Pelodiscus sinensis: one gene and its partner. The protein of the gene in region 2 binds, or shares a complex with, the protein of the main gene of each other region. Links are inferred from orthologs where the notes say so. Each region holds a gene or a part of one and is shown on either strand. Other genes may lie near its edges.

Region 1 (9,939 bases), on a different chromosome or scaffold from region 2:
AGGGAGTCCAGTCTGGGCCCACCATGGAGAGGGACTGCTCTGGTGGGGAACTGGGAGCTGGTAGTAATCCCAATCCAAACATGGTGCTGAGAGCTGACAACCAGCCCCAGCATAGGGCTGGGGCAGGACCCTGGTAGGTCAGGGGCTGCTCCAGCCGTGCTGGAGTGGTCCCCAGTCCAGATTCCGCTTTAGTCGATAACTAGTTAAATGTTAGGTAAACCTAATTTTTAACCAGTTAACTGATTAACCAGGATTTCACATCCTGATGTACCAAATCAGAACCCTTTGCAGCATGATTTTAAGTGGCTCATCTTATAATGGAGGCTTTAAGGTTTGGAGATCACCTACCCCTGCACACTGAGATTTAATTGCTAATTATGCTTGAAGACTCAATTATCCTCCTGCAAGGATTAATATTTATAGTGGAGCATAGGTAGATATTTCATTTATGAAAAGACAACGTAAAAAGTTTACTCTCAATATATTCCTTCACAGAAGGTCATGCTTGACTATTGCAATTAAAGAAGTTTGGTCAAGGCAGAGGAGAAAGACTTTTTACTCATTTAATATCCCTAGATTATGGCATGAGTTAGTACGGCGTTAACAATCGGGTATCTGTGTAAACGTGTAACCGCTTGAAATTTTGATTTAAAAACCCTGTCAGAATGTAAGACCTAAAATCAAATCATGAGTAAGGCATTCTAGTCAGATAGCATGTTTACAGCAGGATCATTGACCAATTCCGTGTGAGTCATTTCAGTTCCAGGTTTAGTAATAAACTTCTGACTCCATTAACACCGTCCAGGTAAAGAGTCAATAAACGAAACATTCAAAAGAAGAGAATTTCCTTGTTAGTAATGCCAATTCAAATAATCAAACCAAGTGGCATAATTCATAGAGAAGCTGGTCAAGAGAAGCCTAGAAAAAGATTCTGAGACATATTATAGGTCAGGAATGAAACTGTCTGACAACATCAAATGCAGAAAAGGTTTATGGTGCTCAGTCCACACGACTTTTTAAACTTTATTAAAAATTATGGAACTGCAGATATGCCTTAGAGTGTCACTATTACTGAATGGAAAACACTTTATTTAAAAAATGGTTGCTCTGCCTTCATCCAGCTTTCTGTCAAGAAATGAGATGGTCTTTCTATGTGTACCACTGTCTAAAATGAATATTAACCTATATTTTATATACTTGGCGTGTGATTTCTTTGGGGCAAGAGCTCTATTTTCCGAAGTATCCGTTCACTGTTTAGCACAATAGGGTCATAATTCTCTATTGGGATATATACTTTAGGAGAATTTGTGTCTGTCTGTCTCTCTGCATGTCCGTCCATCTGTGTATGAGTCTGTTTGTTCAAGAACTCCTCCTAAAAGCTAGGAACTAGAATCACCAAATTTAGTATGTAGCTTCCCCTTATAACTTAAAGCGAGATAAAAGCATTTGGCTGTGCCAGGACAATGGGATGTGTGATTGTGTTTGTTTCTTATTAAACTGAAAAGGCAGTACAATTATACTCCCAAATGACCATGGGGAGAGGGAAGAGACAGCAAGCTCCCAAGCCCCTGAGGAGTGGCCAAGTTGCATGGCCCCCGCTGGCCTGGGGAACTGGCTGGCAGATGGGCAGCATGTCCCCTCCCCCTCGCCCCGACCTGAGGGGCAGCTGCCATCCGCCCAACACCCTGCCCTGAGCACCCCACTTTCTCTCCTACACCTTCCAACCACTTTCCTGACTCCTGCACGCCCCCCATCCCTTGCCCTGAACCCCTCTTCATCTCCCAACCCTGACCCCTGTATCCCCCACATCCTCAAGACCTTGCCCTGACTCCTGTACCCCCATACCTTTGACTCTGTGCTCTGAAGGATCTGAGCAATGCTGGGTAAAACTTCTAGTAGTACAAAAAGCAAATAATTCAAATCTTTCTAAAAATACTGTAAATAAATGAGCTACAGTGTATTCATTCGGAACAGCTGTCAGCTGTTATAAAAGATATTCCAGCAGGGATAGACAAGTAGGAGGCCCTTCTTCACCTCAGTGGGCTGCAGCCGCCCACGGGGGTTCCACCTGTGACCACCCTCCCCCATGCACCTCTGCGCTGTACTTATCTGCTCCTCCCTCTCCCTTCCAGCACTTTCAGTGTGCACAAACTGCCTGATCTGCACTCCATCCCTCTTCTCCTCCTTCCTCCCAGAGCCAGACTACCATGAACCGCTGACTTGTGGCATTCCAGCTCTGAGGCATTTGTGGCATTTCAGCAGGAAGTGTGAGGCTCCAGTACTGTACCTTGTTGTGCAAGAAGCGCATGGGGAAGGAGGACAGCCAGGGGGTCCATGAGCTGCAGGTGGAGTGCCAGTTGGCCGTATATGGCCTGCAGGCCACAGATTCCCCACCAGTGGGATTAGAGCATTCAAGAGGATAAAGGCAAAAGGGAAAGTTATCCCATAGATTCATGTGGGCAATGAACAAACTGATAATCTGGAGCCAGCATGGCATCATCTCTTCACGTGTCTCTTATAGGCCTTTTCCCACAAGCAGCTTCATGAAAGGTGACTGACACTCCCTCCCCCCCGACATGTACCTGGAACACAATCCCTGTTGGTTATAACTGCGTTCAAGCAATTGCTCAAGAACCATTTCTTAAAAAAAAACAAACACGGTAGCTGGCAAGTTTTGGTGTTTTATGGATACGCAGAAAAAATACTTAACTGCCAACAGCGCAGCCCAGTTTAAACAGGGTGTACTGATGTTGCACAAGCTAATTGACAGAAGTTTTAGCGCTGAAAAAATCACTCTGAACATTGTTACAAGCAGCAGGATCAGAATCCACACACCCCTCTCTCGCCCAGCCGAAAACAAAATTCCCCAAAAAAAGAGGCATTCGCGTTATTTCACCACCGGGGAGGAGGGTCAGTATTTTCAAGTCACGGACTCCTAAGGCCAACCCAAGTGTCCACCCGATCTAGTCAACCCGTACGCAAAGTTCTCACCTAACTCGGCCGAAGGTGCCTCCCCACAAAGACCCACCTCCCTTAGAGCCCCTTCGGCAGATGCTCCTTCCGCAGCTCTACAACCCCCCACGACCACTGCCGACGCCCGGAACCGCTACAAGCCCGCCGCTCCCCTCCCACCAAACCCCTTCCGGGACCCGCTTCTCTAGACTCGCCCTTTCCAGACCCCCGAGGCCTGGCTCCAGTAAGGGCCCATTCGGTGTTGGGAGCCGCCGCCGCCACCCCACGATGATCACCGACAGCGGGTGCCCCTGTGCTCGTCTCCCCCCGGAGCCGCATTCACTCCAGCACACTCCCCCCACCGCCCTCCGGCCCGACCTCCACTCCCACCGGGCTCCCCAATCCCCGCCGGGTGCCCCGCCCCGGCCGTGTCACTCACCCTTTGTAGTAGGCTTTCACCCGCACCTGGTGGGCGCTATCCCCGCAGAGGCCGCCGCCGCCGCCGCCCAGCGTCGGGTGGGACATGGTGGTGCTGGTGCCGCTGCCGCCGCTACTCTCCCGCTGCGTCGGCATCTCCCCCGGCCCCGCCAGAGGAGCAGGCAAGGAGGGAACGAGCGACCCCGCCGCCACCCCACAGGCTCCAGGAAACGCTTCCGTCCCGCCCCTCCTACGGGCGCCTCAGAGTCAGCCCAGCCCGCGGCGGGCCGCGCCAAGGGCCCATGCTCGGTGGGGGAGGGAGGAACAAACCACTTCTTGGAGCGAAAGGGAGGGAAGAAGCAAGGCGCGAACAAACCAAGTCAGCGAGGGGGAGAGACGGGATCAGCCCATGCGCCACAACTCTGTGTGTGTGGGGAGGGGGGGTACACTACTCCTTCCGGAGAGAGCAGGCAAGCACCCCCTCCTCCCACCATTTGCTTCCTTAGTCTCCTCCAGGACACACCTGTTGGGGAGGGGGGGACTGTTCTCCGCTCTTGGGAAGGAAGGGGCGGAACAAACCCGAACCCCCTCAGAAAGGCACCAAAGCGATTTATCCCGAGACAAACGATCCAGGAAAAGCTGTACCCCCCATTTTCTCTCGCATCCCGTGCTAAAGTGAAGGCGTGCGACAACAATGATACCTATGTTATCCGCAGTTGGTAGAGTCCACAGGTTTCTGGCCGGGAGGGAGAGGGGGAAGGAGGCTTGTAGAGGAGCGAGCCAAAGCCGTGGGGAATTCTGGAACTCGTAGTCACTAAGGTTCAGGGGGCACGCGCCACCGCTGCTCCTCCCCCCTTCTCCTACTTGCCACAATGGAGCAGTAGCGTGTGCGGGTGACGTGTGCAGAGAGATTTTACAGGGAAGGGGCTGCCTGGGGTGGAACAGCAGCATCTTGGTTGGTGCTCTTCACTAGGAGAAGTCAAGGGCAGGGAGTTTGCTATCTGGGGTAGGTTGTACCAGAAGAACTGTTCCATGAGGGCTACGTCTAGACTGGCATGATTTTCCGGAAATGCTTTTAACGGAAAAGTTTTCCGTTAAAAGCATTTTCGGAAAAGCGCGTCTAGATTGGCAGGACGCTTTTCCGCAAAAGCACTTTTTGTGGAAAAGTGTCCGTGGCCAATCTAGACGCGCTTTTCCGCAAAAAAGCCCCGATGGTCATTTCCGCGATCGGGGCTTTTTTGCGGAAAACAAATCTCTGCTTTCTACACTGGCCCTTTAGCGCAAAAGTTTTTCGGAAAAAGACTTTTGCCCCAACGGGAGCAGCATAGTATTTCCGCAAAAACACTGACAATCTTACATGAGATTGTCAGTGCTTTTGCGGAAATTCAAGCGGCCAGTGTAGACAGCTCGCAAGTTTTTCCGGAAAAGTGGCTGCTTTTCTGGAAAAAGTTGTCAGTCTAGACACAGCGGAGGTGTGTGAAGTCAAGAGGCGTTGTGTAAAGTTAAACTCGTCCTTGAATGTTTTGATGAATTTGAGCCCAGTCCAATTCCTGTTTTAGTGCAGTGTCATTGCAGTATTGTTGGTCCCAGGGTATTACAGAGAGGAGGTGAGTGAGGTAACCATAACATCTTTTATTGGACAAACTTCTGTTGGCAAGAGAGATAAGCTCTGTGTAAAATCGAAAGTGCTCTCTCTCTCTCTCAGCAACAGAAATTGGCCCAATAAAAGAAGTTACCTCACCCATTCCTTATCTATGTATTTTAATGGAAATCATAACAGGTGTTTTGGCAGTAGCAGTGACACCTAGAACAGTATTTCCTGAAACTCACTGCAAAGTTCCTTTTTTAGCACGCAGATATGATTTACCATTGTTTTGAGGTTATGACTAATTAACAGGTTTGAATTCAACAAATTATCGAAATCTACATGGCCTACAGTGTTCACTGCAGCATTCAGGTGCAACAGGATAGAGTGGCAGCAATAATTTGATACAACAATCTACTCTAGTTTTCAAGGGAGACCAGTAATTTGGTGAGGAGCGTTCTGCAGTACAGGCAGTCCCCGGGTTACGTACAAGATAGGGACTGTAGGTTTGTTCTTAAGTTGAATTTGTATGTAAGTCGGAAATGGCATCCAGATTCAGCCACTGCTGAAACTGACCAGCGGCTGACTACAGGAAGCCCGAGGCAGAGTTGCTCTGCCCCGGGCTTCCTGGAATCAGCCGCTGATCAGTTTCAACAGGCTGAATCTGGACGCCAGTTCTTACATACAGATTCAACTTAAGAACCTCAGGCGTCCCCAAGTCAGCTGCTGCTGAAACTGATCAGCGGCTGATTCCAGGAAGCCCGGGACAGAGCAACTCTGCCTAGGGCTTCATGTAGTCAGCGCTGGTCAGTTTCAGCAGCGGCTGACTTGGGGACGCGTGGGGCAGAGCAGCTGGGGTGCTGCTGGGTGGCTTCAGTAGCGCCGCTCCTCAACGCTACTGGACCAACCCAGCAGCACCCCAGCTGCTCTGCCCCAGGCGTCCTGATTCAGCCGCTGCTGAAACTGACCAGCAGCGGCTGAATCAGGACGCCTGGGGCAGAGCAGCTGGGGTGCTGCCGGGTTGGTCCAGTAGCGCCCAGAGCGGCACTACGGGACCAACCGGCAGTGCCCCAGCTGCTCTACCACAGGCGTCTGGAGAAAAGCCTGGTCTGCTGGGGGGAGGAGGGCGCACTAGTTGCGCCTTCCCCCCCCCCCCCCCAGCAGACCAAGGAGATGCGGGTGGCGGACCGAGACGCACCGCGGTCCCACCGCCCGGGTCCTCCGCGGCTTTGCTCCGCGTCTCCCTGGTCTGCTGGTCTCCAGCAGACCAGGGAGACGCGGAGCAAAGCCGCGGAGCACGCGGGCAGCGGGACAGCCCAGACGCGCCGCGGCTGTCCCGCTGTCCGTGTGCTCCGCGGCTTTGCTCCCCGTCTCCCTGGTCTGCTGGTCTACTGGAGACCAGCAGACCAGGGAGACGCGGAGCAGCTTTTCTCGCCCCGGAGGACGTGGGCGGCGGGACCACGGCGCATCTGGGCGTCCCGCTGCTCCCATCCTCCGGGGCGAGAAAAATCCCATTCGTAACTGCGGATCCGACATAAGTCGGATCCGCATAACTCGGGGACTGCCTGTACTGTAAAATACTCAGGAAGCCTGAATGATCTATTCTCATTTTTCACCTTCATCCACTAATATGAGTGTCATTTTAAACCTGTTTCTGTAGGACGCAAAAGAAGGTCATCAATAATTTACCAGAAGGAAATGTAGCCATGGTAACTCTTTGTCTGCTTAGAAGAAATAATTCAATCATATAGTTAGAGGTTTCTAGATCTGTTTTTCTTTCCTGACAATCAGCTAGAGACCTTGTCTAAAAGTAGTGGCAGTAGAAACAAGTGGAGTGACCTATTATAGGATAATTTAACTGGGGATAAGCTAGTCAGTGCACTTGTTAATTACCCCAAGAAAAAAGGGGAATCCACACATTCAGATATGGACCTAACCTAAAGTTAGAATTTACATTCAACAGCATCCAATAAACAAGGCCTGGTCTACACACAAAAATTAGGTCAACCTCGTTACGTGGTCAGGGGTGTGAAAATTCCAATCACTGGCTGATTTACCTATCCTGACTTAATTGCTAATGTAGACACAGCTATGTCTTCTTATGTCAGTGTAGCTACTGTCATTGGGAGAGGTGGTGTTCCCAAAAACAATGGGGAAGAACCCATTCCCTCAGTACAGGATGTATCTAAATGTGGTATTGCCAGCATAGCTACAGCAACATAGTCTATATCAGAGCTGCTCAACATACAGCCCACAGGTCGCATGCAGCCTGTTTGTTTGCAGCCCTCAGTGCACTTTGGGTTTATGCAGGGCTCCACATGCGGCCCACAGGTGGGATCCTTTGAACATGGCCACCACTGGGAATACACTCCATAACAGCGAGTCACTATAATGGTCTTCTGTTGATATGCATTTTAGTAGTAATATGCATTCCTGGACTGTCATTGCTGTCATATGGGTGAAAATCGGGTAAATATTGCATTTTATTAATATCAGCAGAACTGACTTAAATGGGGCCTGTGTGTTGTGTAGTCTTGCCTTAATCTTTGTATTCATGCCTGTCAGTGTGAAAGAAGATATTTGCATATATATTTGCATGTATATGCAACCACACTTAAGTTGTGGCCCCCTGCATGTGCTGTGAGTATCACTGTGGCCCCTGGGGCTTCCAAAGTTGAGTAGCTCTGGTCTATATGTTGGTATAGTGGTGGTATAGTCTCCATAATGCAGACATGCCTAAAAACTTTCATTTACAGAGCTCAAATAACATAGGGTAACAATATGTATATTTTAGTCAAACACATGCTTTGATAAGAAAACAGTTGTTTCCTGGGGAATAATTACAAATCTAGTTGCTAACAACCTGGAACAAGACTTTAACCCTTGGCCTGCCAGCCATCATACAAAAATTATCAGCCTGCTATACTTCTGTAATGCGAAATCTTAAATTATCTCCCTCTATTTTGTGACACTGATAGACCAACCAACCTAATGACTCATAGGCTACGTAATTTTCCGGAAATGCTTTTAACGGAAAAGTTTTCCATTAAAAACATTTTCGGAACAGAGCGTCTAGATTGACACGGATGCTTTTCCGCAAAAGCACTTTTTGCGGAAAAGCGTCCATGCCAATCTAGACATGCTTTTCTGCAAAAAAGCCCTGATTGCCATTTTCGCGATTGGGGCTTTTTTGCGGAAAACAAATCTGAGCTGTCTACACTGGCCCTTTTGCGCAAAAGTTTTGCTCAAAAGGACTTTTGCCCGAACGGGAACAGCATAGTATTTCCGCAAGAACACTGACAATATTACATGAGATCATCAGTGCTTTTGTGGAAATTCAAGCAGCCAGTGTAGACAGCTGGCAAGTTTTTCCGGAAAAGCAGCTGATTTTCCGGATAAACTGGCCAGTCTAGACACAGCCATATTGTATGACCCATGATAATTTAACAGGAGGCATTACAACTGTAATCAGGTCTATCTACTTGGATATGATTTTCAGAGATGTACTAGATAAGCAATCATCAACACATTCATTTGTAGTAAAAGAAATCAAGGATTGATGTTAAATGTGTTTTTCTGTGTTTACCTCTTTCTTGTTAGAGGTTTAAAAATAAAACTGATTAGTTTGTAGATGCTAATCCATTCTAGGGATGTTAAATGGCATTTAATTAGCTAATTGACTAGTTGATGGAATTTCCATCAATTAGTTGATTAATTGATAAGGAGGAAAAACTGCAGAGCTGCAGCAGGGTTAGTTCCTGGTTCCGTAAGCCATGCTGCAGCTCTGCCTGTTAAATGTATTAAGAGCCATCTGACTTTTAATACATTTAAAAAGTACAAATGCAGGGGGGAACTGGGCACAAGCCAGGAATCAGCTGATTCCTGGCTCATGCCCAGTCCCCCCCGCTATGCCTCTACCTCTCTGACTCCCCAGGAGATGGTGCTGGGGGGGCGACCAGCTTATAAGCCGGCTCCCCCAGCACTGGCTCCTGCTCCCCCACTGTGACATAGTGTTGGTACCTTGCTGGTTGCTAGGCTTGGGCTGTGGGTGACCACCACTGGTTACTGTCTGTACCATGGCCCAGCAGAGTAGGTGATGGGACAGGGAGGTAACCTGTTCGACCAGTTACCTCCCAGGGAGAGGAACAAAGGAAGGTGGAATGCCGCCCCTGGCTGGGGGGCAGAGCTGGAAGGGATAGTCTTTTAGAGTCTGTCTGGGAAGCAGGGGAGAAGGAGCTGGGGGGGGGGGGGGGGGCTGGGATTGTAGGGCCCAGCCACCCCCCATCTCAAGGGGGGGCACTGAGGCCTCCTAGCCCCAGTCCCTGTAACAAGATTACATCTGTGCTGCGCTGTATCCTAGAGAAGCAATAAACTCCCTCTATTCTACTGGCTGGTGGAGTCTGTTTGTGCCACTATGGGGGTGCAGAAGGCAGGGGATCCCGACGCGCCGCCACACCCACTTACTGCCTCTCTCTGATAGAGGCAACAAGAGCAGGGAAGCGGCTGGTCAAGTCACTAGTTGACTAGTTGCTTACATCCCTAATCCATTCCATGGCTTAATTATGTATGTAATTGTGGCCAGTTAACCATAAGACCAAAGATATAAGATACTGCAGGAAACTAATAATATTATCTACATTATCTTTTGTTTAACTGTGTTATAATGATGGGACAGTTAATTGTTTTATGTGAATGAAACTAACTAGTTTACTGGGGTATGTATAAGAAGTGGAAGATAAGCTTCCAAGCAATGGTCCACATGCTATATGCAAGGCCTATTCTTTTTTGGAGGAAGGCCTTGCTGTGAAAGTTTCTATTGTAAGGGTTGTCAGACTTCTAGAAGAGTTATAAATAGGGCCCTAATAAATTCATGGACAATTTCAGTGAATTTCACAGCGAGAGGGTTTTTTAATTAGTCAATTTCATTATTTCAGATGTTTACATCTGATCCCAAATGAGATAATAGGGGGAGGGATGAAAGTGCC
Region 2 (9,711 bases):
CCTGTGTGTGCGTTTGCCAGCTCTGCACTCCCCAGCCCTCTCTCCAATTTGCCATCCTCAGTCTGCAATGTGTGTTCCTTCAATGACACCTGGGCTGAAGGTTCATTGGAGGAGGAGGAGGAGGAGGAGGAGGAGGAGGAAGCACACACGTCCGCTCCTTCCCCCCCCACATGTATCGCTGCTCAACCCGACTTGCCATTGGCACTCATTCTTTGGCATCACACAGACAGCTGGAAGCCAGCGGGGGGGAGGGGAACTCTGTCCCCTACTGCGAGCCCCTGGCAGGATCCGGGAAGGCCAGCTCCGAGTGCCGGATCGGCCGTTTCCCCTGGGCACCGCTCCACGGTGAGCACGGACACCACGTCCACGGAGAGCAGAGGCAGGCTCCCTTCATAAGTCACGTGCCATATTTGGAGCAAGCTCAGCTGTTTCCTTCCCCGCCCGTTGGGAACAAGGCGCTTGGATTTTAACTCGGCTCGTTCATCCAACACCCCGTCAGACACTCCAGCTGCGGCAGAGCCGGGTCTAGGCCCTGGATTGGGCTCTGTGGAGAGAGCCCTGCTGCTTTCCCTCCACCCCCAAGACAAGCGATAGCCAGGGCAGGCTTATGCTTGACGTGAGGGGCTGCAGAGGGGTTTGGTTTGCCACACTAAGGAGATCCAAGAGCCTGGGCTAATGAAGTTGCCCTTTGGGGACTGGCTCAGCCTGTCTATTCACAGCAGAAAGCAGCCGCATGGCAGCCAAGCACGTGAAGTGTGTGGTCGGAGGCGGACGGGCACACGGCAGCAGGACATCACAGCTGTCTCAGAGGACTAAGATGGGAACAGGAGTCTCCAACGAGTCAAGGGCCGGCTGCACCTCCGGCAGAGGGAACGCTAGCCTAGCAGGAGAGCACGGCTGGGTTAGGCAGAGCTGGTGGGTGTCAGATGCAAGCCTGCGTCATTCACTCACTGTCCCCACACTTGGCCAAGCCGAGGCCCACCAGGGGCCGTCCGGCCAAGGCTCCACAGCCATCCAGATGTCTCCGTTCAGCCCCCCCTGTATCCCCCCCTCAGCCGTAGCTGCTATTTATCAGCAAGCCAGTTGCTAGGCACTGAGGAAACATCACCCGCCCTGCTGGAAGCCGAAAAGCCGCGCTCAGGGGAGGATCAACTCTGAGTCACAGCTTTGCCCGACAGCTGATTGCTGAGGCTGGAATCTTGGCCAGAGCTATTCGCAGCAACGCCCATGCAGGGAGAGGGCGAGGGCGTGCCCTCCCGCCCGCCCACCAGATCCGGGGCTCACGCAGCCCTCCCCAACCTCCACGGCTGGACCACAGAGCGGTGACATCACTTCTCCTCCCCGAGCCTGGTGACTCACGCTCAGGGAACCGCCCCAGGAAGCAGGTAAACACCAGCCTCCCTGGGGAGCACATGGGGGCACAAGCGAGGACCCACGAACAGGGTCGGGGGCAGAGCGAGGAGATCCCAGACTCCGGGCATGTGCTCCTGCCGCTACCTCCGAAGCAGACACCTGGGGAGGTCGCTGCACCTCTGGCTGTCCTCCTACCTGCCTCCAGCGCGTCTGCTCCTTACCCAGGCCCTATCCCCTCTCGCCTGGCACCAGAACTGTGCCCTCGCTTTAGAGCTGCATAAACAGCCCCTGCCCACAAGGAGCCACGCTGGAGCAAACTGGCAGGCGCAGCGGGGAACACCCATTCGCAGTGGGTTACGAGAGTCAAGACACCACCAAGCCGGGCTCCGTGGAGCCCTCCAAAGCTCCCAGCTCCGCAGCCTTCAGCCCAGGCACAGAGAGGACACGGGTAGCCAAGGCTTTCAGCATGGCTGCAGTCAAGGCAGAGAGATTTTGCAGAGGCAAGAAAAATAAAAGCTCCTCGCTGCGAGCCCGACTTTGCACACTCATCTGGACAGGGCAGCCAGCCAGCTCCCCAGGGTCAAGGCTGTTCCACGGGCCGAGAAACCCCACTTCCCCATCCAACACACCTGGCGCTCAGCCGCAGGTCCAATTTTCAAAGCCACAGGGGAGCTAATGAGTTGAGATCAGCTGCCAGATAGATCCTGGAGCCGCAGCAAGCTGGACAGAAATACAGCCCTGGCGCAGGACAGTCCCAACACCTCCCAGGGCAATAGAGAACGCCTCTAGGGGACGAGGGCTCCCCAAATGAAAATAATAGGTAGCAGGTTTAAAACAAACAAAAGGGCGTTTTTCTTCATGCAGCACACAGTCAACCTGTGGAACTCCTTGCCAGAGGATGTTAAGACCATGCCTGGTGGTAGCTGGAAAGCAACCCACGGGCAACAGCAAGTTCGCCCCGCAGCTGGCCCGAGGTGACCTTACCTTCTGCCCTTCTCCGGAGTCTCCCAAGAGAGCACATCCAGGAAAGGATACACTTTCACAGCTCCCGATTTGGTGCCGACTGCCATAATTCTCAGCTTGGGGTCGTAGGCCAGGGAGCTCGGCTGGTTGGGGAACCCATGTTCTACCGTCTAGGAGGAAGACGAGAGAAATGAGACGTCACCCGTCAGAGTCCAGCGGTGCGAGACGGACTCGTTGTGAGCCCCAAGAGAGGGTCACCCGTGGCCCCACTCAAAACCTCCCGCCGGTGCAGCCTCTGTGGGCTTGGGCAGTGTGTGCACAACTTCAGTCGCATCCTTATTTACCGGGCCCACAAGATCTCGCCATGTGCAGCCCACCCCTCCCTGCAGTGCTGGGGAGGAGCCGGGAGGAGAAGGACTCACGCTCTTGGAGGCCGAATCCCCGAGCACCTCCCTGAAAGTGATTTTCACGGGACAGGGCAGCTACAGGCAGCCCTGCCCTGTTAACCCATTGCCCAGGTGGGCTAGGCAAGACCCACACACCCCAGCCTAGCCCTTGGGCAAGCTTGAGCCCTGGCATGGACCGAAAACAGTCAGACCACGTCTTCCCTGCTCCTCAGAGCGACTTGTGCTCTGACAAGCCCTGCAGAGCTCAGCCCAGGATCAGGGCCGAGAGCAGCGTTCCCCAAAAGCAGCCGCCCAGGAGGGATTCATCAGTGCACATAAAATTTATTCCACACATGGGTGGAAAAAACTTAAGGGGAACATTGACCCGGAGGGTTCAGAGCGTAGGAAGCTGGGCCCTGCCCCAGATGGCAGCACGACAGGGAGAGAGTCAGGACAACAGGTCCAATCACCCCACACGCGGTGAACAGCCGCCTAATCTAGCAGCCCTGGCTCGAGACAGCTTGCGGCGACTGAGCTGGACGCAGAGAAAGAGAGTGGCCAATCCCTGAGCATCCCAGGGTCTGCGAAGCCTTTCAAACAGCTGCACGCAACAGCCAGGAGGCAGCGCCAGCCTCGCCTTCGCGCCGGCCTCCGCCTGCTCTTTGCAGCAAGGGCTCCGAGCAGCAGCTACAGGAGCAGCGCTCCAGAGACAGCCGGAGGCCTTCTCTTGCTGGCCACAGCCTCCCCTCCGGAAAGTTAAGCGCCCCCGCAGCCCGCCGGGTGCAGCTGCGGCCTCTCCTCTCACAGCTCCCACCTCAGGGGCCTCCCAGGCGGCCAGGAGTTCGGAGAAGTGGACGGGAGGAAGAGGGGAACGGACTCGTCAGGCTTGGCTGGAAGAGCAGCCTGAGTCGCTCCCTCCCCCCCGCCTCCCCCGAGCGGTCCCAGCTGCCCTCCGTCCATCCAAGGACCAGGCGGTTGGGGGATTTTTTCAGGACCAACCCGCAAGCCTCCTTGTGGCCAGTTCCCGCCCCCTCTCTCAAGGGCTGGGGTCAAGCTGAGCTCAGCGCAGGAAGGAGAAGGAAGCTTGGCTCTCGCGCCGCGGACACTCCCCTCTTCCCTCACGGCCCCTTGGCAAGCAGCGTAGCTCCGGGCAGCCCCCCAGAGAACACGTTCCTCACCCTCAGAACGGGGCCCCCCGCGGCCGAGCAGGGGGGCATGGGCATCCTATTCGCTAGCAACCAGAGCTGGGAGCAGCAGGCCCGAGGGGGGCTCCCCTCAGCAACTCGACGAACTTCACTCATCTGCCACACGGAGAAACAGGATGTTTTGGCACCGACAGCGCTCAGAACGGCGTTATCCAGGAAGTGGCATCGGCAAGAGCCCCCGTTACAGGCGCAGAGCACAGGACGGTACATTCCTCCTGCCCCAAGCGCATGAGGCTCATCCCCTCCGCAGATGCTCAGGGGTACGACCCATCCCGCCAACAGGGCCATCTAACACGGGGCACTTCCCGCAGAAGGCTCTCCCCAGGGCTGTGCCACTGTCTCCAGGACTAGGGCCAGTCTATGTGCACAATGCTGGGCCGCTGCAGCGTGTCTGATGAAGATGCTCCGTGCCGATGGGAGAGAGCTGGCTGGCACAACACAGTCACCTCCACAAGCGGCAGCAAGTGTGTGTGTGTGTGTGTGTGTGTGTGTGTGTCACACACACACACCCCTCCTGTGCACAATGCTCACCCATCTCCACAAGCGGCAGCAGCGCGCTCTCTCTCTCTCTCACACACACACACACCCCCCACCCTATGCACAGACCTCACCCATCTCCACAAGCAGCAGTAGCTCTCTGGCTAACACACACACACACACACACACACACACACACACACACGTGCGCACTGCGCTGTCAGTGAAACTTACATGGCTCAGGAGGTGCAACAGTCACACCACGAGTGACATTTCACCAACATCGGCTGTCGTGTAGATACTAGCCGTTGTGTCACAATATGGCCTGGAAGGTGCTGTTGGGAAGAGCCTACGCACAGACTCCGAACCCACGTGTCCACTTAGCATCTCCTCACTGCCAGCCTCCTTGTGGCGGCTCTGGGGCAGATGTTCCAAGCGGCCCTTTCAGCACAACTAGTACTTTCTCCAACAGGACGGAGCGGGGAGTTCGAGGAGGACGAGACTAAAGGATGCTCAGGAAGCGCAAAAGCAGGTTGGTTTGTAGACTTAGAATCCAAGGACAATTCAAGTTGTAAATAACGAGGCAGCTTGGGAGGCAGGTGGGAGTTTACCCAAAGCCAGTCAAAGGACGGCTCGGGAACAACCAGCCAGCAGCCCCCCTTGTTCCGAAGGCACTGCACTGACGCCAACTCCTGCGCAACTAAACAGGGCCCCGGAAATCCCAGCCCCACAAGGGCACGGTCACAGAGCACCGCAGACCAGACTCAGCAAGTCCCGATTTGCTGGCGGCTGCTGGGCCCAGTGCAGCAGTGAGAGACTCACCCCCCCACGCAGGGGATCGGGATTCTTACGCAGCCCTGCACAGAAGCTCAGCGGAAAGGCTATGGATGAAGTCAATGCCCTTGCCCGACGAAGGGCAGGTTTGGGCACCGGGTCTGTATGCCAGCAGGGGCTTTAGATCTCGGACCAAGCGACACCTCATCACCTCACACTGGAGGAGGCCCTGGACACGATACTGCCACATTTCTCCTGGGACCGGGGCTGGGATCTGCCCTGGTGTCGGCCACCGTATCAAGGGGAGAGCGGCAGGGCACAGCAGCCATGCACGGGTGATGCATGTATCTTCCATCCCGCCCCGCAAGACAGCGACCAGAGAGCACTGAACTGGAGCGCCAGTGGTGGTCCTCCGGCAGGACGGAGTCAGTACCATGCACGGCCCTCAGCCCCGCGCTGTGCTGCAGCCCACGGGAGGAAGGAGGGGACAGGAGCTGTGACCTCAGCAAGCCAGAAGGGTCACTGAGTGTGAAGCTACGGTCTGGAATTCAGGCTCCTTGGAGCTAGACCCGAGCTGCCTCGGCACCTTCCATCCAAGGGTCTCCGTGCTTGGCAGCCACCCGTTTGCACCCCGCCCCTCTGGGTTGTAGGTCTCCATTCTGTAAGTGGGGTACACCAGGAAGGCTAAGTGACATGCCCAAGGTCACAAAGCAAATAAGTGGCTGGACTAGGAGGGTTCTCTGCTTTAACTACTAGGTTGTTTTGCCAGCAGAAAACTCAGACCCATGGGTTGGGATGGCCAGCAGAGGACACCCGCAAGCGACTCACAAGCAGCGAGGGGCATTCACAGTCCTCAGCACGCACTCCCTCAGAGAGGAAGCATCACCCGCTGTCGAGGCAGGGAACAGCGCCACAGAAAGGAAACTGACGTGCCCAAGGTCAGCATGAGCAGTAGGAATTCAATCCAGCTTTCCCAAGTCCCCCAAACAAGGCAATTCATTGTCCCTGACAAGACACTGCACAATCACAAGGGGTGAATGGAGGGCAACATTCACCAATCTCCTACGTCAAGGGCTATAGAATTTCACGAGTCTACACAGGGGTCCTCCCAGCTGAAATATAGAGGGAATTACATACCCTTTTTAACTAGAGGCTGCCTCTCTGACTCCTCCTCAGGGGAATGGCACAGTGGTTGGCCAGAAGACCCTGATTCAATTCCTTGCTCTGCTACAGACTTCCTGTGCAACCTTGGGCAAGTCACTTAGTCCACACGCCCTCTATAAAATGGTTATTAATTTCCCTACCTGCAAAGAGAGGCACAAAAGACTGCAACACACTCGGGGATTTATATCTGGCTATGACAGCTAAGACATCACTCCACAGAGTATTCCCAGATCAACCTGCCAGGTCAGGACGCAACTTTTGCCTTTCGGCCGAGAGCAGGATGTACTGCAGATGCATTTAGTCCTTCCTTTTTGTCCCCCGAGTGACAAGCCGCAGCGGATTAGCAGCTTACCCCCTACCACACATACACTGACGTTAGCCATCTGCTAGTTTATGTTTCCCCCGGCTCCCAAAATCGTATGCTCCCGCCTCTCCAACTGCCTCCCCTGGTTTTCCCACTGGGAGCTGAAGATTTGGTTTATTACCAGCCGTCAGCAGCAAACACTTTATTTTTATTTCATGCACCAGCTGTTCAGCGCTCTTCCCTTCCGTGTGGGTTCTCCGTTTTGATGGGTTTCCGCAGACCAATTACGTGAGCGAAGTACTGCAGGCGCGCGGCTGTTTAACAGCCATGCTGCTGCACGTCTCACCCTGGTTTAATTACTCCGATATCAGCTTAATCACTGTCCTGGGCTAACTAGCCAACCAGGAAGCAATCAGCGGGTGGGGCCTGCTGTCTCATTCCCAGCTGCGGAATTCCTCATTGACACGAACCAATTGGCTCGTCCCCATTTTCCTGAAGGCACCCGATCCCTTCCGAATAGGCTCTGCTGGGCGAGTTCACCTGCAGCCACGCAGACGGCTCCTCCCACTCTCCAGCCAGGGGAGGGAACCAGCTGGTACGGAATTCAGACATCAGGACAGCTCGATTAGATCCCAGGGCTCTGACTACACCTGTACAGGACCTGGGATGGGCACGTGCGTTTGTTTGGGTACAATACTTCAGCGGTGAGCAACCTGTCTTCCTGGGTGGAGTGGCAGCACTTGGATCTGGGCTGGCCAGCAATTTGTTTTCCCGGCTCGGCGCCTGACGTACATGGACTCCCGGCGTCTGACGTACGCGGAAGTGGCAGGGGAGCGGACCAGCGCTTTAAATTAAAGGGGCCACAATAATGTTCCCAGCAGGTTTTTTTTTCTCCCCCCTTCAACAAAAATGTTCCCGGTGAATGAAAGAAGATTGAGCACCACTGCGATACTTGGGGCGTCTTCCTAGGGCGCTGGAAGGTATTAGGCAGAACTAGCAGGAGGGCTGAATATTCCAACCTCTTACATAGGCAGAAAACCCCTCGGCAGCAGGACAAGGCATTACATGCCGGGAGGCTGTTTGCCAAAGTTCACCGGCCACCCCTGCTCAAGCAGATCCGGCCTGCACCGCACCCGTAACGCAACATCCAAGGGGAGTCCGACGGGAACGACTCCACATGCTACAGCAATAGTCAGTGGCGCATCACCGCACGCCTGCAGCGAGCCTCCCCCGCTCGCCTTGCCTGGCTTCATACAAAGGCCCGTCTCCCCGCGGCCAGCTAGATCCACTCTCGACTTGCTCTCTGCGGTGACTTGTCCAGCCAACCGCCGACGAGCTGGCGTCTTGGCACAGGGCCGCTGCCACCAGCCCGCTCCCTTTGGGCGGGAGGCGGTGCCTTCTCCCAGGCAGGAGCGACCTGTCTTTGAAAGCGAGACTCTGCGTTTCTAGCCGCTTCTAGTCTTTTGAGAGGACGACCGGGGATCCGTGACTGGCCACAACAATCACTCCGAACCTCCAAAATCAGAAGGAGAGGAAGAGGCACGAAGTGCGGTTCCGCCACAGTCCCCTCTAAGGCTCTTGCTTACAAGTGGCCATCACGCAATCCTCAAGGCATCCCCTCTTCCGCCGCTCGTGCGCCAGTCTCGGCACTAGTGAGTGCACCGGGATGAGCTGCAATCTCCGCGCCACACCCACCCTTTGCATCCGTCCCCAGCAAACGGGAGAAGAGGGCCCAGAAGGTAGCTCCCCACAGTCAGCCGGCCTTTCGAGGAGCACCATTGCTGCTGGAGTCATCTGGACGATAGCTTCAGGAGAGAGCTGCAAAATCCCCTTGCACCAGTTAACGGGTTAAATCAGGGATGTAAGTGACGAGTCGACTACCCAATAAGCGTAGGCTCGACTAGTCACTCCCCCCACCTTGCTGCTTCTATCAGAGGCATCGGGGGGCGGGGGGAGGAAGTGGCTTAAAAGCCGCTCCCCCCAGCACCGACTCCGCAGAGGGAGGGGCAAGGGAGGCAGAGGTGCAGCAGGGAATTGGACCAAAGCAGTCCCCACTCGCTGGGTTTCAAACTGCTGCCCCTCTGCTGTTGAAATGTACAAGAGCCGCCTGTGGCTCTTGTACATTTCAAAGGCAGAGGTGTAGCTGGATAGTGAGCACTTCCCCTTATCGACCACTCGATGGAAATTCCATCAACTACTCGATGAGCTGATGAATCGAAATTGAATAGCCCTAGGTTAAATGTTACATTTAACCCCTTAACTGGGATCCCGCAGGCACGGGGGGAGGTGGGGGCGCTCTCTAGCCCAGCCTGGCCACCAGTTAACTGGTTACATCCCTAAGGGAGCAGAAAACCTCTCTAGTGCTCAAGTCACTTCCTCCGGATCCCCACGTGATGGCGCACCACTGGCATGTAAAAGTAATTCATGACTTGGGGAGGGGGAGGCGTGGCTACAGCTAGGACCTAAGGCGACAAGAAGGGCCATAGCAGATCAATAGGTGTGACGGGGAGGTGGTGGGCTCCCTTCTCTTCCATGACACAAGCTAGAGCAGCTACCAGCTGACCTTGGGCACGTCAGTTTCCTTTCTGCGGTGCTGTTCCCAACCTCGAGGGTGGGTGATGCTTCCTCTCTAAGGGAGTGGGTGTGGAGGACTGTGAATGTCACTCGCTGCTTGCGAGTCGCTTGTGGGTGTCCTCTGCTGGCCATCCCCAACCCGTGTACTTGAGTTCTCTGCTGGCAAAACAGCCTAGTAGTTAAAGCAGAGAACCCTCCTAATTCAGCCACTTATAGAATCATAGAATCAGAGCTGGAAGAGACCTCAGGAGGTCATTCCCACTTACTTGTTTCCCTGTGGAACTCCTTGCCAGAGGATGCAGTGAAGGTTAGAACTTTAACAGGGTTCAAAAGAGAGCTAGATAGATTCATGGAGGTTAGGCCCATCAATGCTATTAGCCAGGATGGGTAGGAATGGTGTCCCCAGCCTCTGTTTCTCTGGCAGTGAGAGACAGGGGAGGGATCACATGAGGATTACCTGTTGTGCTCCCTCCTTCTGGGGCATCTGGCATTGGCCACTGTCAGCAGACAG

The links.
Region 1: the proteins of LLGL1 (region 2) and PRKCI are in contact, whole or in part, in a cryo-EM structure (PDB 8R3Y), measured with the Homo sapiens proteins. The link is inferred for Pelodiscus sinensis from reciprocal best matches to the Homo sapiens genes LLGL1 and PRKCI. Residues at the interface, in NP_004131.4 of Homo sapiens: Ala315, Asp319, Glu367, His391, Ser392, Ala394, Thr396, Glu453, Cys483, Glu484, His485, Phe506, Asp507, Pro508, Tyr509, Ser510, Asp511, Pro513, Gln518, Lys519, Lys569, Ala600, Val601, Thr602, Leu644, Gly648, Pro649, Leu650, Ser651, Arg652; in NP_002731.4 of Homo sapiens: Asp339, Met341, Gln345, Arg348, Leu381, Asp382, Met399, Thr412, Phe413, Cys414, Pro417, Leu425, Glu445, Gly449, Arg450, Ser451, Gly457, Ser458, Ser459, Asp460, Asn461, Pro462, Asp463, Asn465, Thr466, Glu467, Asp468, Tyr469, Leu470, Phe471.

What each region holds. Positions count from the first base shown.
Region 1 is NC_134720.1:38,760,411-38,770,349, reverse strand, and holds the start of PRKCI (protein kinase C iota type), read right to left. Parts: upstream 3,877-9,939; 5' UTR 3,526-3,876; coding exon 3,392-3,525; intron 1-3,391.
Region 2 is NC_134726.1:34,106,389-34,116,099, reverse strand, and holds the start of LLGL1 (lethal(2) giant larvae protein homolog 1), read right to left. Parts: upstream 4,133-9,711; 5' UTR 4,118-4,132; coding exon 3,881-4,117; intron 2,487-3,880; coding exon 2,389-2,486; intron 1-2,388. UniProt on the Homo sapiens protein: Cortical cytoskeleton protein found in a complex involved in maintaining cell polarity and epithelial integrity. Involved in the regulation of mitotic spindle orientation, proliferation, differentiation and tissue organization of neuroepithelial cells.